Saccharomyces cerevisiae S288C: one gene and its partners. The gene in region 3 interacts genetically with the main gene of each other region. Each region holds a gene or a part of one and is shown on either strand. Other genes may lie near its edges. The genes, in order: SEN2, SHH3, POG1 and YNL194C.

Region 1 (8,456 bases), on a different chromosome or scaffold from region 3:
GTCTCATATTAGGTTTCGAATTTGTTACAAATTCTCGCCTTGATAACCTCTCCAGGTCTTCTTTGTTGCATCCAGGTACACTCTCTAACAACATTGAACCATTGCCCTCCGGATTCGCACTGTCATATTTATTAGCCTCTTCGCCGCACATGATGTCAATATCGGGTCGATAGCTGTCTATGCCGTCTAGATGGCCCACCTTATGAAACACAAGACAATGTGCTGCCCTTTCGGCTTTCAAAAAACTGTCAATTCTACTTTCCCTTAGCGTATTGCGCTCACAAAACGGTGAATAATCGTATTGCTTTTCTTCCTCGATGTGGCTCAAAGTATTCAGATAGTCGACTTCGTCTACGTCCATATTTATCCCATAGAGATCATCTGCAGTCCTCTCCTCTAGTACTTCGCCTGTTATGGGCATCGAATCATCATTTATTACCCTTGTCGACCTTTTCCGTAGCGGTGTGGTAAAATTGTTAAAGTTGGCTTTGTTGAACCTTGGTGTTTTCCAGGGCGGCAATGACGGTAGTTGAAACAACTTGCCTTCGTTCTTATCACCATTTTGGTTCATCTTACTTTGTCACAGCTATTTCTTTCCTTCCTGAATTTGTCCTTCCAAACCTAGTTCCCTGTTCTTAATTTCCTTTTATTTAGGTTTTTTTTTTTGTTTTGTCAAGAGCCGCGCACAAAATATGGTATTATTATAGAAAAGTTGGACTTAAAAGCTTGAAAAAGCTTAGATTTTATATTCATATGCTGGTATATATGTACGACTAAATAATATAAATTTGATTATAACAATCCACTCAAGGTCAGCTTCTCCAGGAATGGTGAAAGATCTTCACGACGTATTTCAATTATGGAACTTTCAAAATTATCTATTCTCACTTTAGCATCCGTTTCTGCAGTTATTTGTTGAAACGCCATGCTGAAATTATTCAAAATAGGTTTTTTTGTGTGTATCGTGTCTAGTCCGCGAGGATACCTAGGTGTTAACCCAGCAACCAAGTAAGTGTCCGTATTTTCATCTATGCTGGCAAGCACCATGGGCAACAATTGCTTGTCTTCAGATTCCGCACAGCATTCTATGAGCCAATTTCCTAATCTTAATAACGTCAATGGGTTTCTGTACAAGTCTAAATCGGGTCCGTCTTGTAAGACGCATAATCTATAAATTCTTAAATGCTTGATTAATTTCTTCTCCAATATAGCAACCCCGGTATTAAAAATTGCTCTCTGTAAGTCTTGTGCTAGTTGAATGCCACGGTTTAATAGTTCCACCTTTCTGTCATCTAGAGCATCCCAACTGAGCCAAAAATTCGAAACCCATCTTTTTCTCAAATTCGTCAATTTTTGAGCGCTGTTATCTTCTTCTTCCTCTCCATCTGTATCGTCATTATTGTCATTATTTATTTTCACACTATCCTTATCAGTTGAATTACCTACTTCCAAAAGAGCTGTTAGTGCTTCGACAAATTCACTGGCACTTATGGACCCACGATATCCAAGAGTTCTAACAAACCCATCTCTAATTATATCTTGCAACCCATAACGATCCAAATTTTTGTCAAATATTATCCCAAGTTCTCTCTTAATAGAATGATCCATGTATAACCATGTTTCTTGTGCAGTACTTAATGGTATACCCATTCTAGCAAACATCTTATGCAATCTCTTTTTCCCATTTTCATTCCATAGGGATAGTTTGGCATTGACATAGTTAGAATAATAAAAACTGTCGTACAATGAAGAATGCCTCAGTAAGAAAAGGTAGTAATCCGGTTGGATGTTTAACGTCAATGTATCAGGGGTCTTTACTGAGTTTCTACTGCTTGGTGTGAGACGCTTCACTTCATCTTGCAATAAGGGGTATAATCGATTGTAAACTTGAGCATATGCTATATCTAACGAGGTCGTACCAAGTATATTCAACCACAGGTTTGAAAGATTTGTTTCTCCGATAGCAGACAATAATGAATAGATTTGTGCAGATATCGAGTTAACCACTGTTGTGCCTTGAGAATAGTATTCCTCCAAAACACCTTCATATTCATGGATTTGCTTCTTTCGTTGCTTTCTTTTTGAGAGATCATTCGGTCCTATTGAAGAATTACCTCTTTTATTAGATATTGTCTCATCTTCGTCTTCTTCGTCCTCGTCTGTGACTTCATCGGCATCAGTTGCCTCATCGTCACCCCCATTATTATCGTTCTCGTCACCTGAGAGCTCATCGTCACCACTCTCCTCGTCCAGTTCAAGCAATTTATAGTATGCTTCTTTTTGTTCGCCTAATGTGTCATCCACCGTACCGTCGTCAAAACATTGGATGATTTGTGATCCAAATATATTGTCGAGATTCCACGGTCTATGAGCATCCAACACGTAGATGTCTCTCCTGAAACTTTGTTCCCCCGACTTTTCATCTGTATCGATAACATACTCTTGGGGATCGATTTCTAAGAAAGCCTCCAGATCAATAACGCCTCCAAACCCTACTAATAGCAGACTATTTATATTGTCATCCAATTGAGAATAGTGGCGTCGTAATTCAGAGTACCCAAATATCGGTACTATTTGAGATTGTACCAATTGTTTTTTGAATAATAGTGACAACATCTTCGTCGCACACAGCGCATCGATGTTAAGACAAGAAACGAAAATGACCAATTGACATGATGAATGAGACGATGAATTCCTTAAGATTTTGTTGTAGGCTTCGCTAAACTGGCTGATTCCATAATACATGTGCGAGAGTATATTCTTGTTATTATGTGCCTTCTCTCTAGTGTTTATTGCTACACTTTTATTGCTCTATAGTGCGTTGTATAAAGTAGCCACAATGGATTGTTGGCATTACTACAGCTTCATTATTTACTGAAATTTCTTAAAACGCGTTAGATGATATGTTGAAAAAAAAATACGCGTCGTGAATGAAACTTATTAGGTTTTACGACTAGTTAAAGCAAGAGAGAGAAGATCGAATTGACTAAATGTCTTCACTTTGAATTTATTCTAGTAGGATTCGCATGGCTTTTTCATAATAAAAATCTCGTTTATTTATGCTTTTGGTTGGTTTTCCTTTGATAAATGCGGCCCTTGCTTTGTTTGTGGTTGCAACGAGTTCGTCAAATGATAAATTGACGCTTAACACAGACGCATGGGAACCACGTAATTGAATTAATGTTTTCTTCTCGAAACAATTGCAATGTGACTTTCTTGTTAGGCAATGTGAGATGAAAGATGGCCTTTACCTTTGCAGATGTTTGGGTGTGGCTCTGAGCTGTCCTTTATAATTATAGAGATAATTTTGATGAAAGCTCAGAAGACCTTTAATGACGAAAAATAGGCATGGTTTGCCAGGCAAAAAACGACCAAATTTTACTGTAGTATGAGTCAAAGTCGCTGGAGTATCGTTCTCATCTTTGCATTGTTTATTTTTGGCAGCACTGGAGTGAATGCCTTCTTCAATTTCGGTCATCATCAGCAACAGCAACAGCAACAGCAACAATCATATGAAGATCAAGTTTTAAATAACCCTTGTGATGGGTATTTGTGTCCGGACACCCTAACGTGCGTTGCACAGCAGAAAGACTGTCCTTGTCCCTTCCCTAAATCTCAGTTGAAATGTGTCCTTCCTGATAATAAATTTGTTTGCATATCCAAACCAGCCACACACAATGAAAAGTTTAGAGCAATATATGATGACCCTGTCAAGGGCCCCAAAGCAAAGAACAAGGGGTTTAGGGATTGTGGATGGGTATCAGATGCTTACAAAAACCATTGAAATCTGTATAAAAAATACATACACATACATATATACATACGAAGGATTTATCTTCTCATTGATATTCTAGTCTCTATTTCTTCCGGGAACCCATCTCTTATACAATACTTCACCAACTTGAAAACTATTGAACAATTTAGTAAAGTTGTTTGATTTCCATAGTGCTATCGCCTCCTGTTCCGAGATTAGTCTCTCCACGTAGCATAACACAAACGTCTTCTTTGCGCCGCCCACAACACGGGCTATGCTAGAATACCACGTATAATCTTTAGAGACGTCGTGGTCAAGACCCATAACACAAAATTCAGCGTGTTGAAATGGTGGCCCTCTCTTATATAATAAATAATCGCAGCCGAATTTTATACCAGATCTTACGCACCAACCGTGTGATCTGTAGTGATGGTATATAACGTATGATCTGACAAAGGAGTGAATATCTTTATATTTGGCATCGAATTGAAACAGTTTCCCTGCCAGGCACGCGGGAGATATGTCAAGAACAGGAAGTGCAAAAGTTAAAAACATAGCTTCCACTGGCATTAGTTCTAGTGACTCTAGTGGCAAAAGATCACCGTTCTCATCAAGAAGATTGTTGTCTTCATCTCTTAAATTTGATTCGGAAATGTCTTGCTGTTGTGCAACGATGCCCACGTCTTCTGTTTGTTTTAGTTTAAATTTTCTTAATGATTCTCGTTGTTTCTCAAGGAGGATGTTTTCCTCATCGATATGACCACCTTTTTTTCTTAATTCTAGTAATTCTCTTTCTAACTTCGCACGTTCTTTCTTGAACTCTAATCTTTGTAATCTCCTCTGTTGTGTGACCTTCTCTAAAGTCATCTCCGTTTCAGTATTACTCTTTGTTCCTCCCCGATTGTGGAGGGGAGTATCATTGAGACCCAGTCTGGCCTCTGTTCTAGCTTTCCATGTAGGCTCACTCCTGCTAAATTGACCAGTGCCAAAAAATCCATTATTCCAAAGATATAGCATTTGCTTGTCATCTTGAACCGTGATGTGAAGAGTGGTATCTCCTATAAAATCTACATGTACTTTATCGTTCAGTGCGTTCGTACTCTTGTAATAGCGGTATGCCCAATATAGCCAAGATAACGGATTATGAAGGATTAACTCTGGAAGGTCATCTACGGGGTGAATTGGAAGAGGATACTTGTAACGCTTCTGATTGACCCTCCCTTTAGACATGCTCCTTCTTGAGTCCTTCGTACTTATTGTCTTTTCAGCGTCGTGTTACAATGAAACGTTTTAGCATATTGAATTTCGATGGAAGTTCAAATGTTTTATGCACCGAAATGAAATACTAGAGCAAAGAGATGTTAGTGAAAGCACCAGCTAATATAGCTCTTTCAAATTTACGTGAAAAAGTTATGTGTGGCAATATAAATCTATAGCAAGAGTGGCTTCTATAAAACATTTTTGACAAGAAATAAAATTCAGATACCGTTGTAGTCTTGAGAAATCATTGTGCTCACATCGATTAACTTCGAGCAACATAAATCATGCTATCATCATTAAAATAAAGTGGAAGTATTAAGAACAGATATAATAGCACGAGAAAAAACTCGTTCAACTAAGTCTAGACACACCTCCTGGTGTTATTTAGTCCGTTCTCTTAACAACCAAAGCCTACGAGCTCTCAAACAGCTCTTTTGTTTTAACTTCCTATAGAACTGAATGGGAAACTTGCATCTTGAAGAAAATTTTTCTCTTTAAATATCTGACTGAAGTATTGATCCCTTCAAAAAAAAAAAAAAAGAGAGTTGGTTACCCATATGGGAATAATATTTCTTAGGGCTAATTGACAAAGGATTGCTAACAGAAAATGCAAAGGACTAATAACTTGAATCATTTTTATATCAGGTTTATATAGGTATACGTTCAGTCTAATTAATAATTTATAGTTTACAGTAGTTTTTTACAGTAGTTTTTTTTTTTTTTTTTCAGTTCCATGATTTTTTTGTTCCTTTGATTCGTGTAGTAAACCTCCTCTTCTTGGTTTTCACGATATACTTAGCTGGATGCCAGGTCTGTAAAGTATTGACGCAAAATCAGTGAAAGCATTTCGGGTAGTTCGCTTATATCGTGTACAACAACATAAAATTCAAAAGGAAATGTGTCCAAGTATTTGGTAATCTTTAATTGCGGATTGCCATACTGATCTGGAATGTAGTTCACTTGGCTCATGTCTAAGATGGATTCATTAGAAGTAATACCATCTATGATGACAAAAACCAGCATAATTTTGTTTTCTCTAGCACGGCGGACCAGTTTTTGTATTGTTTCATGGTCTTCGCAAATACCATCAGAGATTACAATTTCTAGTTGCCATTGGTCATTATGTACCATAGCGCGAGCACGTTCAAAAATTTTAGTAGATTCAGCCACAAGTTTCTTAACGTCTGTTTTAGTTTCTTGGAAACCAAACCATTGAAAAGCTCTTGCGCCAGATTCGTTACTAAATTGTTGGTCAAATGAGTGAACTTCTTTAATATTTTCACCGAATTTGACAATAGATAACCCTCCAGCCTCTAGCTGAGTTAACGTCTTGGAGACCAAGCATAAACTATCAAAAGCGAGTTTAACGCATTTAGATTCGCTCATAGACTTAGAATCATCAAGCGCAATCATTATTTGATACTGACGTTTGCTTGGTTTAGTTCTTCTCAACCAGATTTTATCTTTACGGAATTGTGAGGCAATATATGGAATGATCCGTTTCATATTCAGTCTCTTACCTGTTTTGTAATCACCCTTCAGCTTTGTAGCCAAGGTAGGTTCCAAGATTAGTCTTAATTGTTCTCCAAGACGTGATACTAAATCGGCGGTCGAAATTTCACTTTTATGCCACAATTCACGGGATTCTTCTAACGATCTTTCCGGTGTCAAACTAGCACTTGCATCAGGTGGATTATCCTCAATGTTTTCAATTAAAGATTGTATTTCACTGTCATCCTCTTGATCAGCCGAGAAGTGTTCATTTGAAAGTTCGTTCTCAAAATCTTCCTCACTCTTTCTTTTACCGATGAATCCTGACTTTTTGCTGTCAACGTCATTGTTAGCGTCATGCGCGTCGATATCAGATAGCATCTCTTCTTCATCAATATCCATTTTTTCATCATCGGCGTCTTCTACTAACTCTTTCTGGTCCACTTCTTGCTCCTCCCTATCATCATCAATGGCCATGTCTTCATCAATGGTTTGTAATTGATCCTGTGTTGCAGAACCTAAAGCTTGCGTATCTGTTTCAGTATTTGCACCCTCAACATGTTCAAATTCATCGGGACGTTCATTGTTTTTTTCCAAATTTTCGTCCTCTTCGCCATTAGTTTGTGCTTCTTTTATATCTTGACGACGTCTATGATATTCTTTCATGCTATCACCTAGTTGCTTTAAAGCAGCCGTAGCCTCTTCGCGTGATTCTTCATTATTCTTTGTCACATCTTCTTGATCTTCTTCATAGGTATTCTGAGTCGTTCCTGAACCTCCAACATCGTCCTGTTCTTGTGTGTCCGTAGCATCAGCACCAGCACCTTTGGATCCAGAATCTTGTTGAACGGCAGCTTCTTGATCGATGTCTTCAGTATCAGCCTTTTCCTCAACGCCATCAAGACCTTCTGTATTCTGCTCACCTCCTTTCTCTTTGTTTTCTTCCATAGCAGCATCTTGCTTTAACTCTTCTTCATCAGACATGGCTTGCTCTTCTGGGCCATTTTCTTCGTCTTCCTTTCCCTCATCATTAGTCATATCCACATCCTCTTCAGCACCTTCTTCTTCGTCAAGAGCTGTTTCTGTCTCGCCGGCATCTTCCTCAGGACCAGGTTCGTCGTTTTCATTATCACTTTCGATACCGGATTCTTGTTTGACTTCTTCGTCTTCGTTTCCAACCTCTTCCTTGTTTAGGTCATCAGGCATTCCATCTGACATATCAACATCTTCGTCTGATTCTTCATGCTCTGAATCTAAATTCATATCTTCAGGAAGGTCTAGGGTTTCGATTTCAGGAACATTAGCCTCCAAATCCTCGCCTTCTTCATCTTTAACTTCGTCCTCCTGTTCACCAACGTCGTTTTCCTCTTCTGCATTTTCATCGTTTTCAATTTCCTCATCGCCATCTTCAGGTGCATTTGGGTCCTCATCCCCTCCTTCCTTGTTATCCCGCTGTTGTTCGTCATTTTCAGCAGCTTGTACATCTTCCTCTTGATTTTTTCCATCTAAATTCTGGTCTGTATCTTTTTCTTTTGAATTATCACTTGCCTTATCATCCCACATTTTATCATCAATAGCGTTGGGGTCATCTTCATTCAGGTCATCAATTTCTTCATCTAATTCTTCTTCTTCGCTATCAGTATCTTCATCATCATTTTCTTCACCATTAGACAAATCTTCCAATTCACCAGCCATATCGCCCTCCATCTCAACTGCATCATCTTCATTCTCGTCATCCCTCTCATCTTTATCTTGTTGTTCTTTGTTTTCGTTTTGTGCATCCTCAGTCAAATCTTCGTCTTGTTCGACGTCTTTATTGTTATTTTGAGCACCTTCACCGTCTCCCAAGCCTGTACCCTCTTGCAAGTTTTTGTCGTCAACTTCTTCAGATGGTGGCTGCGGAGAACAGAACCCATTTTTGGCTAAGCTATGCAATATCGTCGATAGAATG
Region 2 (8,011 bases), on a different chromosome or scaffold from region 3:
TTCGACTTATTTTTTTTTTATTATTCTTCGCTCTTTGGCAGCATACGCAATTTGAATTTGCAGTTTTTGACTCTTTTTTCCTTAGCGGAACGAACAATATTAATCATGCCAACTAAGTCATTGCAGAAGTCAACTTATCATTTATAAAGAAGATCCTACCCTACAATGTGTGTACCCTGATGTGCCCAGAAATGAATTGACTCCTCTCATAACTTGTTAATATTCGGATGTGCATATCACGTTCGGATCTATGTATATAAATGTACGCTCGTTTTAACCTTTAGTGTAGTACCTAAAATCTTTCTTACCAGCAACTAATAGCCCTTGAAGTAGTTTTGCTAGCTTGGACATCAAAGCACATATCACCATCAAATATGGCCAATTACACAAAAACCGCAATCCTATCCGTCTATGACAAGACAGGTCTACTTGATTTAGCCAGAGGCCTCATCGAGAAGAACGTTCGTATTCTCGCCTCCGGTGGTACTGCTCGTATGATTCGTGACGCTGGTTTTCCAATCGAAGACGTTTCTGCTATCACACATGCCCCAGAAATGTTGGGAGGTAGAGTGAAAACTTTACATCCTGCCGTTCATGGTGGTATCCTTGCTAGGGACATCGATAGCGATGAGAAAGACTTGAAGGAACAGCACATTGAAAAAGTCGATTATGTCGTTTGTAACCTATACCCATTCAAAGAAACTGTTGCTAAGGTGGGTGTGACTATTCCAGAAGCAGTAGAAGAAATTGATATTGGTGGTGTTACTCTATTAAGAGCAGCTGCTAAGAACCATGCTAGAGTCACTATTTTATCTGATCCAAAGGACTACTCCGAATTTTTAAGTGAATTATCCAGTAATGGTGAAATCTCTCAAGATTTGAGAAACAGATTGGCATTAAAGGCTTTCGAACACACTGCCGATTATGATGCTGCAATTTCAGATTTCTTCAGGAAACAATACTCTGAAGGTCAAGCTCAAATTACTCTACGTTATGGTGCCAATCCACACCAAAAGCCGGCTCAAGCTTACGTCAGTCAACAAGACAGTTTACCTTTCAAAGTCCTATGTGGTTCACCAGGTTACATTAATTTGTTGGATGCTCTAAATTCCTGGCCCCTGGTTAAGGAATTATCCGCCTCGTTGAATTTACCAGCAGCAGCATCGTTCAAGCATGTATCACCAGCTGGTGCCGCTGTGGGTATCCCATTGTCTGATGTTGAAAAGCAAGTTTATTTTGTTGCCGACATTGAAAACTTATCTCCCCTGGCATGTGCCTATGCTAGGGCCCGTGGTGCTGATAGAATGTCTTCCTTTGGTGATTGGATTGCTCTTTCCAACATAGTTGATGTTCCAACAGCTAAGATCATATCTAGAGAAGTTTCTGATGGTGTTATTGCCCCAGGTTATGAGCCTGAGGCGTTGGCCATTCTATCCAAGAAGAAGGGAGGTAAGTACTGCATATTACAAATTGATCCAAACTATGTTCCAGAAGCTGTCGAAAGAAGACAAGTATACGGTGTGACTTTGGAACAAAAGAGAAACGATGCCATAATCAATCAATCAACTTTCAAAGAAATTGTTTCTCAAAATAAAAATCTCACTGAACAAGCCATAATTGATTTAACGGTTGCCACCATTGCTATTAAATATACTCAATCTAATTCCGTATGTTATGCTAGAAATGGTATGGTTGTCGGATTGGGTGCAGGTCAACAATCTAGAATCCATTGTACAAGATTAGCTGGTGATAAGGCTGATAATTGGTGGTTCAGACAACACCCTAGAGTTTTGGAGATTAAATGGGCTAAAGGCGTCAAGAGACCAGAAAAATCTAATGCTATCGATTTATTCGTAACCGGCCAAATTCCAACAGAAGAACCAGAATTGTCTGAATACCAATCGAAGTTCGAGGAGATTCCAAAACCATTTACTCCAGAAGAAAGAAAGGAATGGTTGAGTAAATTAACCAACGTTTCTTTGTCATCGGATGCATTTTTCCCATTCCCAGACAATGTTTACAGAGCAGTTAAATCCGGTGTCAAATACATTGCCGCTCCATCTGGTTCTGTCATGGACAAGGTTGTATTTTCAGCTGCCGATTCATTCGATTTGGTTTACGTAGAGAACCCAATCCGTTTGTTCCACCATTAGATGGCATGAGTTCAGAGTCAATATGCCATAAATACAGAAATGACGGCAAATCGATGTATAGTTTATTCTTTCCTCCTCTAATGATATAATCGCCACTGACACTTTTATATATATACTAATGATACGATATGTTATAAGTACAATTTTAATTCGAACATTTCCCAAAGAAAAAAAACTTGATTTATTATTATGATGTTTATATGTGCAACACAGAAAGCTCTAGCTATAGTAATTAATGCTAGAGCTCCCAAACGAAAAACCTCTTTTAGATACCATGCAAAAGTTCTTAAACTATTATTTACTATCTGAAACAGGATGAACCTTACAGTACCCATGAACTTTACTCCTACAACATACGCAAGTGCTGAACCCACGTAAACCCAAAGAAATTCTGCAATCCTCGCAAATGGCAAAACATCGGCAGGGCCATAATACTGTATTTCTTTCATTGACTTTGCATACCGCGCAAGATAGATCAAAATCACTTTCTGTACCAAAAGTCTCATCTACTTCACTTAACTTTGTATCTAAGATAGACGCCCTTGTCAAAGTTTTATCTGACAGTAATTTTTGTTGAAGGATACGGCTAGTTGACATGATCCAATTATAATCAGTATGAACTTCATTATCTTCGGAAGAAAATAAATCCAGTAGGGCATCCCGAGTTTCGTTGAAAATCAGTGAATCTTCTTCCAAGTTTTCTTCATCAGAATCCCCCAGTGACTCAACTTCAGAAGGCTCGTAATCTTCAGAATACTCATCATCTGATGTGTTCAATAGTTCAAGTTCAATATCTTCTTTGTGGCCGGCACTATTATTGAGAGAGTTCGTTTTAGTTATCTTTAACATTTTTGATGGGTCGTTGTCGGGGATGTCCTCGTCCTTGTTATCTCTGAAGCCAAAGAATACTTGGCCTACAAGCTTCTTCATGATCCATATTATAGATTTTGGAAACATTAAAAAAAATCTTTGCTTTAATATTGATGAATTTTTCTTTGGGAAGCTGATGGAAGTGTTCTCTTTATACGGTTTAGAAAGTTCATTTAAATAACCGCTAATAAAAAATTTCTCATTAACATTATCCGGGATGTTAATAGCAGGAAATTCTCTTCGTATACCCTTTTCCATTAGTTCAGTTCCTGAGCATAATAATAGTGCGAATTTAGTGGCCATAGCAGAAAAATCTTCTTCTCCCGTGTAATTTAAGTATTTTTTCCAATTTCTACTGAGAGGGTAAAACTGTAAAAGTTCGCAAGAATTACGTGATTTTCCAAATGGATCCCATCTAATTAAGCATGATAATTTAAAAATCAGTAATGATAAGCAAATAATAGACACTGAAAACAGTTTTGGAAAGTGCCTAAATTTCACCGAAAATGGAAGGCTTTTCCAGCCGCCCTGCTTAACTCTTATCCCTAAGTAACAAATATGACAGAGGTTCATAATAGTACTAAAAAGTAGACGATAATTTCTAAGCCTGAAAATCTCCACCAAATGGATCAATATCCTGCTCAAAATAGCCATAGAACAGTCTATAATGTAATCAGGAGAATCTAAAAATTTAGTATTATTATTAGTCATTGTATAAAACTGAATCGAAAGTTCAAACAATGAATAGTCAGTGCCCTCCAAAGGGCTGGAATTCCGCATGATGGTAAATATGGTTTCGACACAATAAGAGTAAGCGAAAGCGTAGAATATATTCAGTAAAAATTTTTCTTGGGCAAAAGCAGGGTCGCCTAATATTTTGAAATCCTTACCCAAGGTCAGCGGACCTAAGGATACCATTGCTAATACAACTACTGCTGATACATGGAAAACATTACTCAACCATAACGGTAAAGTACGTCTGGAACCGTTGTTAAGGACGGCGTAAAATACAACGAACCGGTTCAGGACAATGGCGATTACAAAGCAAAATATGGCGTACGGGCTGAAAAAAAACCCTATTGTATCAAAAACAGACCTTAGAGTTGGGGGAATTTCTTCAGATTTAACGGTTTGCTCGTACTGCAAGTTCACAGCCCCAATAAAGGATAATCCAAGTCTATAAGGAAAGTTGATAACATTTGCGAAAGTGGAGTTACCTGAGATTACGGCTTGTGATGTTTGATTCAAATAGCTAAATGAATTTATGAACACATTTTCTGAAGAAGTGGAAGAGTTCATATTCTTAGCATAGTTTCTTTGTAAAAAGAAGAAAAAAACCCAGATAAAATTAAGAAAAATACCCCAAAGTGCAAATTGTCTATAAAATATAAAAGTAAGCAGTGATTATCTTCTTGAGTTAAAATTGTTGTGTGGTGAAAGAGTAATTTTAGTACTTCCTTCTATTTTTCTGTTCAAAACAATATAGTTTTCGTAATTGTGTTTTATTGTATTTTCCAATGTTTTTCATATTGCTTACTCAACTGACTTCAAAGTTTGATTCGTAGCTTCTCAATATTTCAACATAAAGGGGCGCCCTCAAAGGAATACGCGAGAAAAAAATAATGGTTGCTAAGAGATTCGAACTCTTGCATCTTACGATACCTGAGTATTCCCACAGTTAACTGCGGTCAAGATATTTCTTGAATCAGGCGCCTTAGACCGCTCGGCCAAACAACCACTTATCTGTTGAAAAGGTGTGACTATAGCAACTATAAGTTGTTATGAGTTGAATAGAATTTAAACTCATTATGGGATAAGCTGCTCGTCTATGCATTGGTAAAAGCACCTCGTTAATATGTAAAGGTCAAAAGGTCATATCAGCGAATAATAAATTTGGATCTTCCTATACTATATAAGAGAGGTTCACTGAACGCAGTCCGATCGGTTTATTATTTGAGATATAGGTGAATTTTGAGATAATTGTTGGGATTCCATTGTTGATAAAAGATTATAATATTAGGTAAACAGAATATACTAAAAGTTCTCCACGAGGACATAGGAATCCTCAAAATGGAATGTATATTTTTACATACTAATATTACGATTATCCCTCTTTCTATTTTATATGTTTCATTATCCTATCATATTATCAATCTTTGCATTTCAGCTTCTTCTAACTTTGATGACAGCTTCTCATAATTTATATCATCATCTAACACCGTCTATGATAATATATTGATAATATAACTACTAGTTGATAGACGGTAGTGGATTTTTATTCCAACATTATTAATCGTGACTAATATAACAAGTTCTCTGGTGGTTACCATATATTTAATGTAAAGACTCGCATGACACATATATATGACTACCACATAAATGTTTAATTTGAAAAAACTTCAGCTCTACTAAGGTACCTGTTGAAAATATCGAAATCCACAAGGACAATAATTTTGCTTGGTAATATTATTATTTTTCTTCCATTGTTTATGTTGATAATTAGAGGTTAAAAATTAGTATTAATGAAGAAGTGAGTACTGATCTTCTTATACTAAATAAGAGAGGTATATAAAACACACGCCGATTGGTCATATTAATTATGACCAATATAATAGTGATTCCGGTAGTTACTATACATTGATGTGACGACTCATATTCCTCATATATGTACCTACCATAACATGTTCAACTAATAGGTCTTTAACACAGCTTCAGTATTGTCTGAGCTTCTCGTTTAACATTCCTTCTGCAATAGGCGCAATCACACTTAAACGTATACGAGTTGTACATTAATATACGATGTAAGCATTAGATTGTTACCATAGCAACTCATGTCACTATTAATTACTCTCGTTCCAACAGTTTATTATATTATCAACCCTGTTTTTCATCTTCCATGGAATTTGGTAACTGCTCCTCACCGATTTATGTCATCTTGCTATTATATGGTAATATACCAAATGTGAAGGTATGCAATTGATATTTTTAGATTTTACCTTTTGGCAAAAAATCAGCACATTAGCAATAAGAAACCGTTTTATCGTTTTGTTCATTTTAATGACTTCACGGAAATTACTAGTTATTAATAGTATTTTACTCGTGAAAGATAATAATCCTTCCAATGATGATTACACTCAAGATACCCTTAAGATTTTTTGGCGTCCATAGAAAACTTCACTATTTATAGAAAATCCTGAGTGCTTCTTTCTTTGTTTATATACTCTGTCATCCACTATTCTACGTGAATATTGTGCGAATATTTTGATAATTGTGAACTCCATTGTTGATCAAAGGCTATAATGTTGTGTATACAGAATATAATAGAAGTTCCTCTCGAAGATATAAGAGTCCTCATAATGGAATCGGTATTTCTACATAATATCACTACTTTTTTTTTGTCCTTCCGCTTTATATGTTTCGTTATCCTATCACATTATCAAATGACTTTGTGCCACTGTGTTTTGACAAAATTACTGTAATATAATCAATAGTATTTACATGTTTGTACCAGAAGTACTTGCATCGCATCCAGTTCTCATGCAATATAGTTGTATACCATGTCGTTGAAAGGAACCAGAGTAAACACTTCTACCAGTATTTCTTTACGGTTCGGATCAAAACCATCACTCATTCGGTCATTCTTACCGTACGATAAACCAAATTACAAGGAAAAGTATCCCTAATTAGAGATCACTGCATCCGTAATAGTTTTTTTTCTATTTTGGACTTTTGTAAAAAAGGGATTAGGGATACGTTGCTCATAAAAAAATTGACGAAGATTTTAGATAATGGCAAATAAAAATGAAATAGTATCAATATACCGAAAAATTAATCACACTCAATGCGACTGTGATAGCTGATAAGTGGAGCTCAGAAATATTCAGAAGCGTAAGAATAATGAAAGCAACCATTCAAAGAGTAACATCTGTATTTGGAGTTCCCCGAGCATCTGTATTCGTGCCAAGAATCAGCACACCATTTATTTTGCATAATTATATCTCTAATGGCAGAATGGACCTTTTTTCCAAAGAATTCCACAATGGCCGCGTATCCAAATCTGATCTTTGGTCAAGCAACAAGGAAGAGGAGCTCTTAGTATCTCAAAGGAAAAAAAGACCGATCTCTCCTCATTTAACTGTTTACGAACCTGAAATGAGCTGGTATCTTTCCTCTTTACATCGTATATCTGGCGTTTTACTGGCTCTTGGATTCTATGCTTTCACAATTACTTTGGGTGTGACGACAATAATGGGAATGGATACGACTTTTCAGGATCTAAACAAGTGGTATCACGAAAAGATGCCTAAGTGGTCCCAATGGGTGGCCAAAGGCTCTGCAGCATATCTGTTTGCATTCCATTTTGGTAACGGTATAAGGCATCTCATCTGGGATATGGGCTACGAATTGACCAACCGTGGGGTTATAAAAACCGGATCAATCGTTTTAGCCGGCACACTCGTCTTAGGAACGTATTTACTGGCTCAGTAAATGAAATGTAAGGAATGTACTTAGTGTTTTTTGCTACATAGCTTTTATGATACTCTTTATAATGTTATATTCAATAAATTTGATTCAACGTAGAAGGACCCGCGAAAGCAGAAGAGGTTACCCGACCTTGACAGGCGCGTCAAAAGTAAATGTAAACAATGAAGTCTTCAAAATAACTTACGTAGGGACTTTGCTATAGATGAAAGAAGTAACGAGGGAAGAGCAAGTGTAAAGGGAAGGAACGCAAGAGCCATGTCACAAAAGGATAACCTACTCGACAATCCGGTTGAATTTTTAAAAGAGGTCAGAGAAAGTTTTGATATTCAGCAAGATGTTGATGCCATGAAAAGAATCCGACACGATCTTGATGTTATAAAAGAGGAAAGCGAAGCAAGAATTAGTAAAGAGCATTCAAAGGTTTCTGAGTCGAACAAGAAATTGAATGCGGAAAGAATAAATGTTGCTAAATTGGAGGGAGACTTAGAATATACTAACGAAGA
Region 3 (8,315 bases):
CGCCAACATCATGCGTTTTGTCATGATATTTGTTCCTTACTGGCTATTGGAAAAAGGACTTTCCAAAAAATTTAAATTGGACAAAGTTAATAATGCTTTGAAGTCGAAACAGAAGAATAAGGACGATTAGTGTTTCACCATCGTCAATAGCTACCTATATTTATATACAAGATTCCGTATAGTTTGTACACCACGTCAGGACATCAATAGCTAATAATCGTTCTAATGCTAATGTTCAACTGCTCTTTAAGTATTGTTTACGTCTCGTCGTACCAGTATGCCAAATTCCTGTCACTTCACTCATTCTCTTTGCTCTTACCGTTTGAAACGCGCTGGGACGGAATTCGCTCATTTCGCATCGTGCTTTGTTGTTTTTTTTTTTTCAAAATTGCCATTGTTTATTTATAAACTACATGAAATTATTCTGTATTTATCTTCGCATTCCCTCTCTTACTTCAAAAGTGAGAACAGCATATTCAAATATATATATCTACTCAGTTGAATAAGACACTATAGCAAGACCATTTGAACTGAAAGAAACAGTTTCTTTGCTCCCCTCTCGAATTCCAACTATTTACAGTCCTTCCTTTATAAAAATTAACTAGCGAGCAAGAAAACATTTGTTTAGTGCTACCCAACTACTTACATTCCTTTAAAAACCACAATATTTAAGTTAACCTGAGCTTTATTTTTAGTAAGTTATTTACCACAATTTTTCTCATACACCTTTACAATCCGTATTGCCATGAATACCAAGGCTTGCTCAGCTTCTGCAGCAGTTCAACCCTTTCCAATACCGCCAATGCGTCCTCAAAACGTTAGTTTAGTCGTGCTCAACCGCTATTTTTGGTTTTATCTTCGTTTCTTTCTCCTGAACGACATTCGTCACGAAAATTGCGGCGGAAAATTTCCTGATGCGGACACTTTTTCCCGATCCGGACATGCCTTTTTTTGGCGTTTCGCGTCAGTCAATAGAAGTTTCAGATCTACATTAGGAAGAACCAGAAAATAGCCATTAATGCTTTCAGCATAGCACAGCATAGCAGCTGTGTATATCTTAAATAAGATGTAGACTGGTTTGCATTTGGAAAGGTTTTGTGTAAGAAAAGCAATACTTGAGGTAAAACAAGAGAAAAAAAAACACTTTACTAACTAATATCCAATCCTTTATTTTTTTGCAGAAATGAAATTCTCAACTGCCGTTACTACGTTGATTAGTTCTGGTGCCATCGTGTCTGCTTTACCACACGTGGATGTTCACCAAGAAGATGCCCACCAACATAAGAGGGCCGTTGCGTACAAATACGTTTACGAAACTGTTGTTGTCGATTCTGATGGCCACACTGTAACTCCTGCTGCTTCAGAAGTCGCTACTGCTGCTACCTCTGCTATCATTACAACATCTGTGTTGGCTCCAACCTCCTCCGCAGCCGCTGCGGATAGCTCCGCTTCCATTGCTGTTTCATCTGCTGCCTTAGCCAAGAATGAGAAAATCTCTGATGCCGCTGCATCTGCCACTGCCTCAACATCTCAAGGGGCATCCTCCTCCTCCTCCTCCTCCTCGGCAACTTCTACCCTAGAAAGCAGCTCTGTTTCTTCATCTAGTGAAGAAGCTGCTCCAACATCTACTGTCGTGTCAACTTCTTCCGCAACCCAATCTAGTGCTTCTTCTGCCACTAAATCTAGTACTTCTTCCACTTCACCATCTACTTCTACTTCTACTTCCACTTCTTCTACTTCCTCTTCCTCTTCCTCCTCCTCCTCCTCTTCTTCTTCTTCTTCTGGCAGTGGTAGTATCTACGGTGATTTGGCCGACTTTTCAGGCCCAAGTGAGAAATTCCAAGACGGCACTATTCCATGTGACAAATTCCCATCTGGTCAAGGTGTCATTTCTATTGACTGGATTGGCGAGGGTGGATGGTCCGGTGTGGAAAACACCGACACTTCCACTGGCGGTTCATGCAAGGAGGGGTCCTACTGTTCCTACTCCTGCCAACCAGGTATGTCTAAGACCCAATGGCCATCCGATCAACCATCTGACGGTAGATCTGTCGGGGGTTTGTTGTGTAAAAATGGTTATTTGTACCGTTCTAACACTGACGCGGATTACTTATGTGAATGGGGTGTCGAGGCTGCCTATGTTGTTTCTAAACTAAGCAAGGGTGTCGCCATTTGCAGAACCGACTACCCGGGCACTGAAAACATGGTTATCCCAACCTATGTTGAAGGGGGTAGCTCTTTGCCATTGACCGTTGTTGACCAAGATACTTACTTTACTTGGGAAGGCAAAAAGACATCTGCTCAATACTACGTTAATAACGCCGGCGTCTCAGTTGAAGATGGGTGTATCTGGGGTACTTCTGGATCTGGTATTGGTAACTGGGCACCATTAAACTTTGGTGCTGGCTCCACTGGTGGAGTGACATACTTATCATTGATTCCTAACCCAAACAACAGCGACGCATTGAACTACAACGTCAAGATAGTTGCTGCTGATGATTCATCCAATGTCATCGGTGAATGTGTTTACGAAAATGGTGAGTTCTCTGGCGGTGCTGACGGGTGTACCGTCTCTGTTACTTCCGGTAAAGCTCATTTCGTCTTATACAATTAAGCTACGTGACTACTACTTTTCCTTTTTTTTTTCTTTTTTCGAACACATCTCACCCCCTATACCTCACACAATCACTATGGTCCCCTTTTCTTTTTACCGATATTTATACTGTCCACCTTTTTCTTTTCGTTAATGGCCTCAATGTTTCTGTACCATTATCCAAGTGAACTTGTTAGACGACCAAATATAGCCAAGATTCATTACGATTATCTTTAACTAGCAAGTAGTATTCTTGGATAGAGAGATTTTCAAAGACGGAACAATTTTAAATAGATTTACATAAGAAAACACATACTGTCCGATACCCATAAGAAATTTAAGAACTCTTTTCATCTTCAGCTTTCCGGCCTCCTTTTACTGTAGCCTGTTCCTAGACAGCTAAAAATAGTACATATGCAGCTCTGCAATAGTCTCAAAGGGGATATTGTGTAGGTTTACGAAATCATCACATTTCCGAATCAGGACATGAAGGCACAACTTTCCGCACGTAGTGTTTTCAGCCCCCAGCGCCTGTCGGCGCGAAGAGGATCTGCGGAGATGAGCTTTGCCCCGCCATTACCCGTAAAATATTACTGTTTTGGGCAATTGTGGATCAAAAAGGGAAAATGCGGATGGTGAAAAAAATTTTTGGAAATTTACTGCTTCAGATGGGGGAACTTTGTAAGTTCTTCCTTTTTTTTCGTAGAGGTTGGAAAATTCAGAGTGCTAAGAAATTAAAAGGTATGCACTGCCTATTCTCATAAAAGCAAAAGTGCACAAAAATAATAAGGTGTGAAGCAATAGTAGAAAAGACACTGGGAACCCAAGGTATCTTATTTTAACAGATAAGTAAAACTAAGATCAAATCGCGTACTGATATCACTTAAGGTTCGCGTATTTTAAAGGCTACGCAGAAGAGGAAATAAATTGCGTGCAATCCCTGCGCTTAACTCATACAAAAAGGCGCAAAACATTTCAAGAGTCCCACGATTAATTGCAGAAATTGAAAAAAAATAAGTAAAGACGAAAATCAAAGTGGATGCCATATTATGAAGCAGGAGCCACATAGACAATCCGAAGAAAAAGAGAAGCCGAAAGGACCAATGGCTGTTGAACGAGAGCAGCATACCTCATTATCTTCTGGTACAACCGTGACAGCTAGTACAGGAGACGAGAGTACCAACAGTAGACCAGTGGAATCATCGCAAACAGAAAAGTCTCTATCGCTTCGAATAAGAATATTAAAACAACTTGGGTTTGACGATATTCAAGAACTAAATGCATGCGACACTGGCCTAGTGGAGCAATTTTTAAACGTACGATTGATAAACGACACAAAAGAACTAGAAAAGATACGCGAGTCAAATCTTGCGAAACTAAACCAGATTATTGATAAATGTATGGAAAGTGATAAAATAAGTGATTCGACATTAAACAAGATTCTTGATATGTCCATGAATAGAGATACAAATAATGATAACAACAATCATCTTACGATACCGTCTCCGATAACGACAAAGAAACGCAAGATAAACGCCTCCGAACTTGCAAGTCCACGAGGCCATAGAAGATATAGATCTGATATACCTACAGTGTCAGAAGTTGAGACAGGGGTCGGATACCCTCAAATACACCAGCAACCAGGCGCATATACTTTACCTATGCCTGCAAATCAGTGGATGAGCAACCCGTATATGCAACCTCCGCAACCACAAGTGCAACAGATAATGCCGCAGTATTTATATCCACCAGGGATGGGACCACAAGCTCAGCTTCCTACAATGAGCTCAAACTCGGAGTCCCAGACACCAGTGATGAGCTCACAGTTTCTTTCCTTGAACCAGCATGGCCTTTACCAACAAAATATAGGTGCTCATCCGGTAATGAGTATGGGCCCACAGGCAAATATATACGGGCAGCAGCACCAGCTGCAACCTGGTCAGGAACGAGACCAGTCAAGAAAAAGTTTTAGTCATAGAAGGTCACAAAGTGCCAATATTTCCATGGCAAATTTTAGGTCGCCCATGCGAAATCCCCAGCCGGCTTCGTCCCAAAGGCCCGTCAATTTTCTCATTCATACACCAAAACATCCTCCTCCCACATGACGTGCAGTAATTTTCATTTTTATCACCTAATTTCTAAAACTATATCCCTTCCTAACCTTCATTCGATGCATCCGTCCACCTTACTTCAGTTCAAAAAAAAATATATATCCATATATATGCTACAGTGTTATTATTACGATTTCTTTGCCTTTACTCCTTATCTCATTTCAATCATGAATAAACAGGATATTGATAATATATGCTGTCATTTTGGATTCAGTCTGCTTAACTGTCTTGTCCACCCCCGGTGTTCTTACCCGTCTGAGCGGTCGTAAGACGGAGGTAATAATTTTTCAGCATCCTGACCTCCCCCCCAAATCTGTGCCTTTCACCACATTTTTCTCGAGAAAATGTGTCTTGGCTCAGATGATGTCGTATGAGCTACTGGACTTTTTTTTGTTGGCCCTGATGAAAATAGTAATGGCGGTTACAGAACAGATAAACGGCGTCACCATCTTTTCCTAGATAAAGAAGCAATCTCTAGATAATGGGGTATATAAATATACATTGTAAAAACGGCAAGTCAGTTGCTGGTCATTTTAGTAGAAACTCTGCTCTCAAACTTGAGTACTGCAACGATGGCAGGAGCAACATCAAGTATAATTCGGGAAAATGATTTTGAGGACGAGCTTGCGGAGAGTATGCAGTCATATAATAGAGAAACTGCAGACAAATTGGCTTTGACTAGGACCGAGAGTGTAAAGCCAGAACCGGAGATAACCGCTCCGCCTCACTCACGCTTTTCCCGTTCTTTCAAGACAGTTTTAATAGCTCAGTGCGCTTTCACTGGGTTTTTCTCCACAATAGCAGGTGCCATCTACTATCCAGTTCTGAGCGTTATAGAAAGAAAATTCGATATTGACGAGGAATTGGTGAATGTCACTGTTGTAGTATATTTTGTATTTCAGGGTCTTGCCCCCACATTCATGGGCGGGTTTGCCGATTCACTGGGCAGGAGACCGGTGGTGCTTGTCGCAATCGTCATTTATTTTGGTGCCTGCATCGGTCTTGCTTGTGCTCAAACGTATGCTCAGATCATTGTGCTAAGATGTCTACAAGCCGCCGGTATTTCACCCGTGATTGCGATTAACAGCGGAATAATGGGAGATGTTACTACTAGAGCCGAGCGCGGCGGGTACGTTGGATATGTTGCTGGATTTCAAGTTCTAGGTTCTGCGTTCGGAGCCCTTATCGGTGCCGGATTATCATCTAGATGGGGATGGAGAGCCATCTTTTGGTTCTTAGCAATTGGATCTGGCATTTGCTTCCTAGCCTCGTTTTTAATTTTGCCAGAAACAAAGAGGAACATATCCGGGAATGGTTCTGTCACCCCAAAATCATACTTAAATAGAGCTCCCATTCTTGTTTTGCCAACAGTAAGAAAATCATTGCATTTGGATAATCCAGATTACGAAACATTGGAACTGCCCACGCAACTAAATCTACTGGCGCCCTTCAAGATTTTGAAAGCTTATGAAATTTGTATACTTATGCTAGTCGCTGGATTACAATTTGCCATGTATACTACGCACCTTACGGCGTTATCCACAGCTTTGAGTAAACAATATCACTTGACTGTTGCAAAGGTAGGATTATGCTACCTTCCCTCCGGTATCTGCACATTATGTAGTATTGTCATTGCTGGAAGATATTTGAATTGGAATTACAGGCGCAGATTAAAATATTACCAAAATTGGTTGGGCAAGAAGAGATCAAAGCTTTTAGAAGAACACGACAACGACCTTAATTTGGTGCAACGTATCATAGAAAATGATCCCAAATACACCTTTAATATCTTCAAGGCGAGGTTGCAACCCGCATTTGTTACCTTGCTTTTAAGCAGTAGCGGATTTTGTGCGTACGGATGGTGCATTACTGTCAAAGCCCCTTTAGCGGCCGTTCTTTGCATGAGTGGATTTGCGTCGCTGTTTTCCAATTGCATTTTGACTTTTTCAACAACTCTAATAGTTGATCTTTTTCCCACGAAGACATCTACGGCTACGGGATGTTTAAACCTTTTCAGATGCATTCTATCTGCTGTGTTTATAGCTGCATTGAGTAAAATGGTAGAAAAAATGAAATTCGGAGGTGTTTTTACATTTTTGGGGGCTTTAACCTCCTCGTCATCGATCCTCTTATTTATTCTCTTGAGAAAAGGTAAAGAATTAGCCTTTAAGAGGAAAAAGCAAGAACTGGGAGTAAATTAAGAAGTAAAGCTTCTTGAATCAAAGGAAAATGTTCCTTTTGATCGCTCCACTACCGAGAAAGAGGAATTGGTGTGATAAGTCTTCTCAAATAGAAAGTAATAGTAAGTATTTTTTTTTTTTTAATCTGAACTCTGTAATAACTAAAATTAGAGTTAGCAGCACGATTCACTAACATAGAACGGCTAGTACTGAGTTTTGCCTTTATTATTCTCCGCCATTTTTTGCCAAGGCCGAAAATATGCTGGAGGTGCGAAATTCGGAGATTCGGGTTTCATGTTTCTGGCCCGGTTGTTAACGGACCCTTTATCTCATCTTCTGATCTTGGAGTTTCTTCTAGTTGATAAAACCATGGTGAAGCTGAAAGGTTTGAAGAATCTCTATCACTGTAGCAAAAAAATCTTCTTACAACAAAAAAAGTAAGCAAGCAATCAGCGTTCAAAGGAACTTATTCTTGCTTAAAAAAAGTGATAATCTCTTAGCACTACCATCTTCTATTAATAAAAAAATAACAGATAGCTCATGAAGAGACTTCTATAAGTAAATCATGACCAAACAACAAACTTCTGTAATGCGTAACGCATCTATAGCCAAGGAAGAACGTGAAGGATCTGATAATAATAATGTGGACAGATCCAGCTCAGATGCCATCAGTGACAACGACGCAGAAAGATCTAATTCTCATTCTGAAATAGATAACGAATCAAATTTTGATATGGTGCCTTATTCAAGGTTCAGCCATAAGCAAAAAATGCTTCTTGTCGTTCAGTGTGCCTTCACAGGCTTTTTTTCAACCGTGGCAGGGTCTATCTACTATCCAGTGCTTACTATTATTGAGAGGAAATTTAACATCACAGAAGAGTTAGCTAATGTCACTATTGTGGTTTATTTTATTTTCCAAGGGGTGGCTCCTTCAATTATGGGTGGTTTAGCTGATACATTTGGAAGGCGGCCTATTGTATTATGGGCAATCTTAGCCTACTTCTGTGCCTGCATCGGACTGGCATGTGCACATAATTACGCCCAAATCCTGGCTTTAAGGTGTTTACAGGCAGCAGGTATTTCTCCTGTTATTGCAATAAATAGCGGAATAATGGGAGATGTAACGACAAAAGTAGAGAGGGGTGGATATGTTGGATTGGTTGCAGGGTTCCAAGTTGTTGGAACTGCATTCGGTGCATTGATTGGTGCCGGATTATCCTCGAAATGGGGTTGGAGGGCAATTTTTTGGTTTTTGGCTATTGGTTCCGGAATTTGTCTAGTTTTTTCAACCTTATTGATGCCAGAGACAAAAAGAACTTTGGTGGGAAACGGCTCCGTAACACCAAGGTCATTTTTGAATAGGTCTTTGATATTGCATGTTGGTTCCGTAAAAAAAACATTACATTTAGACGATCCTGACCCTGAGACCTT
Region 4 (8,245 bases), on a different chromosome or scaffold from region 3:
CAACGAAAGATCAATCTTACCCTGTACATCTTTTTCATCAAGCAGATCGGTAAAGGAGACGGTTTGCAGAACAAAATCTTGCAATGACTCGAAGGTTCCGGAGCTAATGATGTTCAAACCTTCAATTAAAGTCTTGGCTAAACCGATTTCCTTCAAATCTAATGGAATGGCGGCGGAAATGGAGTCTATAATGTCGCGTAGTTGTAAATAGAATTTATTGGTTGTATCTTCCAAGAAATTAATCTGAATAGGATTCAAGATTTTCGTTTCGACATTTTTTTCAATAGATATTTTCGACTCAATAACCAATTCCATCAAAGCATGGTTGAACTTTAAAGAGTTGGCGAGTACTTCGGTAAGTGAAGACGGAGTCACTTGTTCAGAAACGTCCATAACTTCTGCTGGAGGTTGTACAGGTCCATTGGTTCGGATACCACTTCCGTCCCTGGTAACTTGCATCGCGTCTTCATCCAAAGTATCTCTTTGCAATTCCGTATCTGTGTCATCGGAATCTTGTTCTGCATTTTCACTCCAGTTTTGTAGTTCTTGTAACAGATAATTAACCAGGTGTTGAAAGATTTCAATATACTTGTTTGTCAAAGTTAAAATGTCTGCACCTTCCATTGCAACGGTGGGCGAAACGGTGTCGTCTAGGGACTCTATGAGAGTCAAATAACATGTCAATAGATTGAATTGAAGATCCCAAGTTCTCTGTTCTGGGAAAGTCTCATAAACAATTTCAAACCGTTGGATAATCTGTGGCAGAGATAACACCAAATTGGAAAGATCAGGCATATCATCCATTTTCACGTATTGCAAGATATTAATGTAGCCGTTATTGGCCAGATAATCTGTATAAATTTGCAAAAAAAGCCTTGTTTCATTATAATAGATATTATATTTCCCTTCCTGCGTGGAATCTAAAGCAGTCAGACCATTTTCGTAGTGCTCTAGAGCCTTTAGATAGAACCGCAAACATTTCTTTATGTCCGATAGCAACCAACGGTCTGCTTGTTCTTCACAGTCGATCGCTGCCAGGTAGAAATCTTCTTGAGTAATCAGGGCTTTCTGCTCCTTTTTGTGTTTATTACTCTTACTGAAATGCTTGAAATTTTTCGGAGGTCCCATTACCTGGTTTACAATACTCTAGTTGTCTGCTTAAGAGGCGAAGCATTCAATGCGGTGTTTGTATACATAAACTTTTAGAACTCTCAAGAATCCGCATCAACGGAAAGCCAAGGCAAAAAAGAAAAAAAAGCAAATCAAATTCAAAATTACGTATGCAACTACGAAAATTTGGCTCCCAACATAATCTTAAGGGCCTTCGTCATCACTAACTGGTCCAAAAGAATATCGCAGATGCCGAAACTATCACCTTTTCATACGTTGAATTTTTGAGAAAATTAATCACTTACAAAGACTCCTCGAAATTACGGCAAGGACACCCCCTGAAGTGCACAGCCGCACAGCCGCACAAGTCGGATTTGGGAAGACGACAAAGAGGGGACTTCTAGAACAAAATTGCTCCCCAGCGTCTTTTAAGGGAGGGGGTTGCAATGCAAAAGCACCCTGTATATCATCAAATCTTGCATTACTACCCGCAGTTTGTACTATTTACAAGGACGTAAAAGTGGGATGAACGGATGGAAAGATGAGATCACTATTCCCTGTTTTCTGTCTCCGCTGTTATCCCCTGCTTTCGATATAAAAACATTAGCTAAATACCCTAACAACTTATATTATGTTAGAGATCCTATCTGTAATTCTTATCCGAAATTAGCCACTTTTCTAGGGTTTTCAAACAACCATAAACAATTACTTGTATTGCGATCACGATAAGCATTAAGTATAACCTCATATATTTCCGTTTCTAATAATCAATGTCCTACAAAAAGTTTGTGTACTTTATTAACCTTTTCTTTCTACTAGGGGCTACATTGTTGACTTTTTTTCTGATACTAGCAGGTGGCAGGACCACAGGAGTGTTGAAGAATTTTTATTGGTTTCAGGCATCCACTTCGGGCTTTAACTCGGCGCCCTCCGTAACCAGATGGTACAATTATAACTGGTGCGGCTGGGAAAGCCGCGGAATAGCAGTCAACTGCTCTTCTAAGATGGCAGCTCAGCCGTTTTCACCAAGGGACAACTTTGGCAGTTCCCCCCTCATGCCCTCAACTTTTTTAAACAACAGAAATGCCTACTATTATCTTTCAAGAGTGGGCTGGGCAATGCTTCTAATCGGGCTTTTCTTTTTGTTAATCACGTTAGTTTCGGTTATTGCCAGTTTAATCAGATACAATAGACGTACCGCCGCTCTGGCAACTGCAATGAGCTGGATCACGCTTTTCTTCATAACCCTATCCGCTTGTCTGTACACAGGATGTTACGCTAAGGCAGTAAAGGCGTTTCACCATGAGAATCGTGATGCTAGACTAGGTCCCAAGAATTTTGGGCTTATTTGGACCACAGTATTTTTGTTAATTGTAAACGCCATTTGCTGTACTATCATGGTGGCTACTCATAAAAGAAACGAGTACATCTATGACCGCAGTTTCGCTTCTACCAAGACAGTGGACTCACAAACTCCAACTCCAGTTCCAACAAATGGAGGAATACCTTCCTCGGTGCCTGTAACTGAGGTCCAACAATCTCAATCCCACCAGAATCATAGGTTCTTTAAGAAATTGAGAACGAAAAAGAGAACTGTGACTAGCGCAGGCGATGAACCAGACCGGGTTCAAGAGGAACGCGTCTATACTGAACAGAATGTTCCTGTTGTATCATAGGGTGCAAAGGAGGCTTTTTTTTCCCTTATTATTAAAGCTAGGATTACAAATAATAACAAACCTAATTGCAGCGATTAGCCTTCTCCTATTCTCTGTTGATACCAATTTTATTTATTACTAATATTTTGCACCGATATTCCACTAATCTTTTATGTTTCCCTAAATATAATATCTTTAATTCTCAACCTCTAATAATACTAATACTATACGTCAAACAATGTAATGATACCATCTAATAAAAAGAAATCGTATTTTAACTTCCTTTTAATGTATCATACACATCTTACTAACTCTTTTTCTTTTCTTTTCACTATTTCGACAGCAATGAATTAGACACAAACCAAGAGTCTTCTGCTACACAGCACGGCTTCGGCTACCATATTGACAAATCTTATGACAGGATGCTGGGTTTGGGCCAATCTGCTCAAGCATATGCAAGTGATGATGCTCTCAATATGAACCAGGCAAAGGATAAAACGTACAGCGTTCCAGGGTGTGGCAGGGCAAGCGACCTCAAATATCCTCATCGTGACGGACACTCTTCGTCTCACGAACAGCGCTCTGGAATTTTACCAACTGAATGCCCAGGCCCTACTTTAAACACCGGTGCCGGTAGCATCGGTATCCCGGGATGTGGCAAAGTCACAAATAGAGTGGTCAGTGACTATAACAAAAACGCTAGGTCTACGCTAGCCAATTTTGATAGTAGTAAAATGACCGAGGCAAGAATGAACAGCAAGAACGTGCCGATTGGTTGTCAAGACACCTCTGATCCGCACTTCAATGGGCCTATCGACCAACATGTTCCCGGTGCAGGTTCACCTCAAAGTCAACCTCATCACATCGACGCGTGGAACAGCGTTTCTTCTCGCCGTGCCGATAATAACAACCAAGACATGATGGACCCCCAAACGGCTTCCTCAGACAGGTACAATGAGAAAATGATGAGAGAAGAAAATAGCGGCGTCTCTGCTTCTTCTTACACCACTAAAGTGCAGGGATATCCCGCAAGTATTCCATCATTCAATCAGGAAACTGAGGAAAAGGAAACCTACGCCTACGGTGTGGGTGATCGGCACAATGTCCCAAGAAACCAAATTATGGATGAGACTAATCCTTCGGCTAACGTTCTAAACGCTACTGATCATAGTATTTCGCACCCTGAGAATAAGGTCTTGCATAAGTAGTTTTTGTTTTTCCTACAGTTTTTATTTATAACCAACCTTATACTTTTATATCCTTGTCTACATATTATTGTCATAACGAATTTTTTATTGGTTAAATGCAGCTATTGCGTTCTCTTTATTGCATAAATATATTCTATTACAATATGGGAGGGCATTATCAGCCTCCATGTGCTTGCGTGCTGTCAAAGAAGGAGTGCGGGGATGACAATATGAATAGCCGCCGAAATTATGCCCGGCTGCAGTTGACCGTATAAATAACAGTGCTTCAATGAAAGGACACAAAAAGCAAGATCGTCCCATTTTCTACCTTAATCAGTATAGTAAAAATCAAAAACATAATATATTACTGTTATGATGAATAAAGTAGATCAAATCATCGGTTACAAAAAGTACGAAGTGAAACTACCAAAAGATCGACAAGTAAAGAAAAATAAATCAAAAGGTGGAAATGTTGATCAAATAGATACTAAGAGGGAAAAGGATAAAATGAGAGCTTTTGGTGAAGAAAGGAAAAAGTTCTTAGATAAAATGGCTAAAAACAAAAAAAAAAATACAAGTAGAAAAGATAGAGAGAAGCCAAAAGAAGTAGAAAAAGAAAACTACAAAAGAGAAGACAAAAGGCTAAAAGAACAGAAAAAATTATCACTGGCAAAAGAATTTCGTTTCAAAGAACCGAATTCAGAAGCCATTAATCAGAACACAGCAGCTGAAAATGGTAAACCTAAACCACAGACTGGACTAGATTTTGACATAGACCATCAAACCGTGTCCAAGATCATGATAGATCAGGCTATTCAAACATCTAGTCCTCTTAATGTCCAACTCACGGAACTTTTCAATGATAACGTCCTCGACGTCTCGAAAGATAGTCAGTTTGTCCTTCAAGACATGGAGTTCACCTCCTGGGAACGACGCTGGTCAAACTGCAGCACGACCAGTAATGCGACTACGGTCTCATCAGTTCCTGATCCCAAATATAATATCAACTACAACGACATAACCTCCTTCAATTCAGTAGCGCTAATTACCGAAGATCTTAACATATCTGCATCATCTAATGGTCTGCATGAGAGAGGTAAAAAGCTACTGCAGCAAGAGATGGAATACTCAAACAAGGTCAAAAATGTCACCATCGGGCTTGAAAGATTGTGTATGGATGAAAAACCAGTCCCAGATGCAGGAATAACCATGCAACAAGCGTCGCGCTGGTCAGAATTCCCCACTTGTTGCGATCAAGCTGCTATTTAGCTTTTCTAATTTAAAAAATTTATAAACTTCTTATAGTATTTCATCTTTATATCAAATACTATTAGCAAAATAAAAGGAAAGGAAAGGGAAAGGAACTTCTTTAGACTGCTTCGCACTGATTCTATCGCCATCCTTCTTCATGTTCTCAACTATTGGATATCTGCTCTATTTAGAACAATCGTTATTGTTACCCGCGTTAAATGGGGTAACTGATTGCTGCTTTTTTTTCTCGTTGTTTTGGACCTTTTCGGACATGAGAGGTCAAAAGAAAAAACAAACACGACCAAGTAAGCCGGAATAAACAAGTATAACCACCTGATTGAATTGCCTTCTTTAAACAAGCACAGACCTCCAAAAAGAAAAGGCTTTTGAAACGCTGCTCACGCACAGTTGTTTATTCCGTCCACATATTTTACGTGTCAGTTTCCTTTCTGTCTTCTCTTTATTCAATCAATTAGCATTAAAGAGAAAATAAGTCGTGTACTTTGAAAACCTTCTGTTCCTGTTTTCTTCCCGTATTTTTCATTTGCTTCACCAGCTTTTTCTCAACTGATCATATCATTTCAAGTTAAAAGTCTTTGTCATCACTTTTCTGTGAGTTGCAAATATTTGTAAGCGTCACTTACCTAGAGCAGCCTTTATCGATCAATATTTCAGAGGGAAAAACCTGTATCTCTTAGCATGCAAAGTTCAGTTTATTTTGACCAAACAGGGTCATTTGCGTCCAGTAGCGACAACGTTGTGTCTAGTACCACCAACACACACAACATTTCTCCCAGTCATCGTTCCAGTTTGAATCTGAACACTACTTCTCATCCCCACGAAGCGTCGGGTAGAGGAAGCGCAAGTGGGGAGTTGTATTTGAATGACACAAACTCACCCTTAGCGATATCTTCTATGCTAAACACACTTGCCCTTGGAAGTATGCCCCAAGACATTGCAAGCAGCAACATTAGCAATCACGATAACAACATTAAGGGGAGCTACAGCCTAAAATTGTCAAATGTAGCCAAGGATATTACTCTCAGAGAATGCTATGCAATCTTCGCTCTTGCTGAAGGTGTGAAAAGTATAGAATTACAGAAAAAAAACTCTTCATCAAGCATCACTTCTGCCTCATTAGAAGACGAGAATGATATTTTTATCATTGCCAGATTTGAGTTATTGAATCTAGCTATTAATTATGCCGTTATTTTGAATTCGAAAAATGAACTCTTTGGACCCAGTTTTCCCAATAAAACAACCGTTGAAATAATAGATGACACAACAAAAAACTTGGTTTCATTCCCATCATCTGCCATTTTCAATGACACCTCAAGATTGAATAAATCGAACTCGGGAATGAAAAGGCCAAGTCTGTTATCACAAAGATCCAGGTTTTCATTCAGCGATCCATTTTCCAATGATTCTCCTTTAAGCCAACAGCAATCTCAACAGCAGCAGCAACAGCCACAACAGCCACAACAACACTCTACGCAAAAACATTCACCACAACAATGTAATCAACAACAAGTGAATTCTTCAATACCGTTATCTTCTCAAGGCCAGGTTATTGGGTTACATTCTAACCATTCACATCAAGATTTGTCTGTGGAATCAACAATTCAAACATCTGATATTGGCAAATCTTTCCTTTTGAGAGATAACACTGAAATTAATGAAAAGATATGGGGCACAAGCGGTATACCTTCCAGCATCAACGGTTACATGAGCACTCCCCAACCTTCTACGCCAACTTTAGAATGGGGAAATACTTCTGCATCCCAACATGGTTCTTCGTTCTTTTTACCCTCTGCAGCATCGACAGCCATTGCACCTACGAATAGCAACACCAGTGCCAATGCAAACGCCAGCTCCAACAATGGAGCCAGCAATAATGGTGCTAACCAGGCACTCTCTGCCAGCTCGCAACAACCAATGATGCAAATTGGTAACACGATTAACACTTCCCTAACCTCTTCAAATTCATTGCCTCCATACGGTTTAATGTCTTCTCAATCGCAGCACATTTCAAATATGGTAAACACCTCTGATATGAACATTACACCTCAAAAACAGAACAGATTTATGCAACAACCCCAACCAGAGCATATGTATCCTGTGAATCAAAGTAACACTCCTCAAAAAGTACCGCCCGCAAGATTAAGTTCAAGTAGAAATTCACACAAGAATAACTCTACTACCTCATTATCCTCAAATATTACTGGATCTGCCTCGATTTCTCAGGCTGATTTGTCACTACTAGCCAGAATTCCACCTCCTGCCAACCCTGCTGATCAAAATCCACCTTGTAATACCCTTTATGTAGGGAATTTACCCTCCGACGCTACTGAGCAAGAACTAAGACAGCTATTTTCTGGTCAAGAAGGCTTCAGAAGACTATCATTCAGGAATAAGAATACCACATCTAATGGTCATAGTCACGGACCGATGTGCTTCGTTGAATTCGATGATGTCAGTTTTGCAACCAGAGCGTTAGCTGAATTGTATGGTAGACAGTTACCTCGCTCCACTGTGAGCAGTAAGGGAGGTATCAGATTAAGCTTTTCAAAAAACCCACTGGGTGTTAGGGGCCCAAACAGCAGAAGAGGAGGCAGTGGTAACCCAAATCCTAATGTAAATATGCTTTCCAGTTACAATTCTAATGTTGGTCATATAAAAAACTAAAAAAATGGTTCCGCAAAAACCTGATTTCCTTGCATGTATCACATTATATGCATTGCTTTTCATCTTTCCCCCACTATAATAAGAATAATATTTTCTGTCGCATTTTTTCTTTTTCTTTTATTATTTGTTATAATAATATTTTCTAAACCGACTAATAATAAGAATAACATCGATAATACTTTATCTCTTCAATTACGTTAAATTATCTTTTTACTATTACATTACAACGTGCATATAACAGAAATTTTTTCTTTTTCTGTCTAACATTTGAATTGTACTATGAATTAAACCCGCCATCTTTTTTCTTAACTACCATTTTGCGAACTCCTATACCGCTTCTGCAACAACAAGAACTTT

Evidence for each region.
Region 1: mutations in POG1 (region 3) and SEN2 together harm fitness more than expected from each alone (negative genetic interaction), as found in Saccharomyces cerevisiae (one large-scale study listed by BioGRID).
Region 2: mutations in POG1 (region 3) and SHH3 together harm fitness more than expected from each alone (negative genetic interaction), as found in Saccharomyces cerevisiae (one large-scale study listed by BioGRID).
Region 4: mutations in POG1 (region 3) and YNL194C together harm fitness more than expected from each alone (negative genetic interaction), as found in Saccharomyces cerevisiae (one large-scale study listed by BioGRID).

What each region holds. Positions count from the first base shown.
Region 1 is NC_001144.5:343,197-351,652, forward strand, and holds SEN2 (tRNA splicing endonuclease subunit SEN2), read right to left. Parts: upstream 4,985-8,456; coding exon 3,851-4,984; downstream 1-3,850. Other genes in the region: APC9 (anaphase promoting complex subunit 9), read right to left, coding at 1-571; DNA replication initiation factor CDC45, read right to left, coding at 793-2,745; LCL2 (Lcl2p), read left to right, coding at 3,389-3,784; REA1 (AAA family ATPase midasin), read right to left, coding at 5,810-8,456. UniProt on the Saccharomyces cerevisiae protein: Constitutes one of the two catalytic subunit of the tRNA-splicing endonuclease complex, a complex responsible for identification and cleavage of the splice sites in pre-tRNA. It cleaves pre-tRNA at the 5'- and 3'-splice sites to release the intron.
Region 2 is NC_001145.3:501,644-509,654, reverse strand, and holds SHH3 (protein SHH3), read left to right. Parts: upstream 1-6,920; coding exon 6,921-7,511; downstream 7,512-8,011. Other genes in the region: bifunctional phosphoribosylaminoimidazolecarboxamide formyltransferase/IMP cyclohydrolase ADE17, read left to right, coding at 375-2,153; putative ubiquitin-protein ligase ASI1, read right to left, coding at 2,448-4,322; kinetochore-associated Ndc80 complex subunit SPC24, read left to right, coding at 7,764-8,011. UniProt on the Saccharomyces cerevisiae protein: Homolog of SDH3, but seems not to be a stoichiometric subunit of either the succinate dehydrogenase (SDH) complex or the mitochondrial inner membrane translocase TIM22 complex.
Region 3 is NC_001141.2:126,968-135,282, forward strand, and holds POG1 (Pog1p), read left to right. Parts: upstream 1-3,642; coding exon 3,643-4,698; downstream 4,699-8,315. Other genes in the region: AYR1 (acylglycerone-phosphate reductase), read left to right, coding at 1-130; putative glucosidase SIM1, read left to right, coding at 1,184-2,614; QDR2 (cation transporter), read left to right, coding at 5,277-6,905; QDR1 (multidrug transporter), read left to right, coding at 7,450-8,315. UniProt on the Saccharomyces cerevisiae protein: Transcriptional activator which promotes cell cycle recovery with CLN2, after pheromone induced G1 arrest, probably inhibiting the ability of STE20 to activate the pheromone response pathway.
Region 4 is NC_001146.8:267,251-275,495, reverse strand, and holds YNL194C (uncharacterized protein), read left to right. Parts: upstream 1-1,880; coding exon 1,881-2,786; downstream 2,787-8,245. Other genes in the region: YNL193W (uncharacterized protein), read right to left, coding at 1-1,128; YNL195C (uncharacterized protein), read left to right, coding at 3,188-3,973; SLZ1 (Slz1p), read left to right, coding at 4,325-5,221; mRNA-binding protein WHI3, read left to right, coding at 5,903-7,888. UniProt on the Saccharomyces cerevisiae protein: Involved in sporulation and affects the sphingolipid composition of the plasma membrane.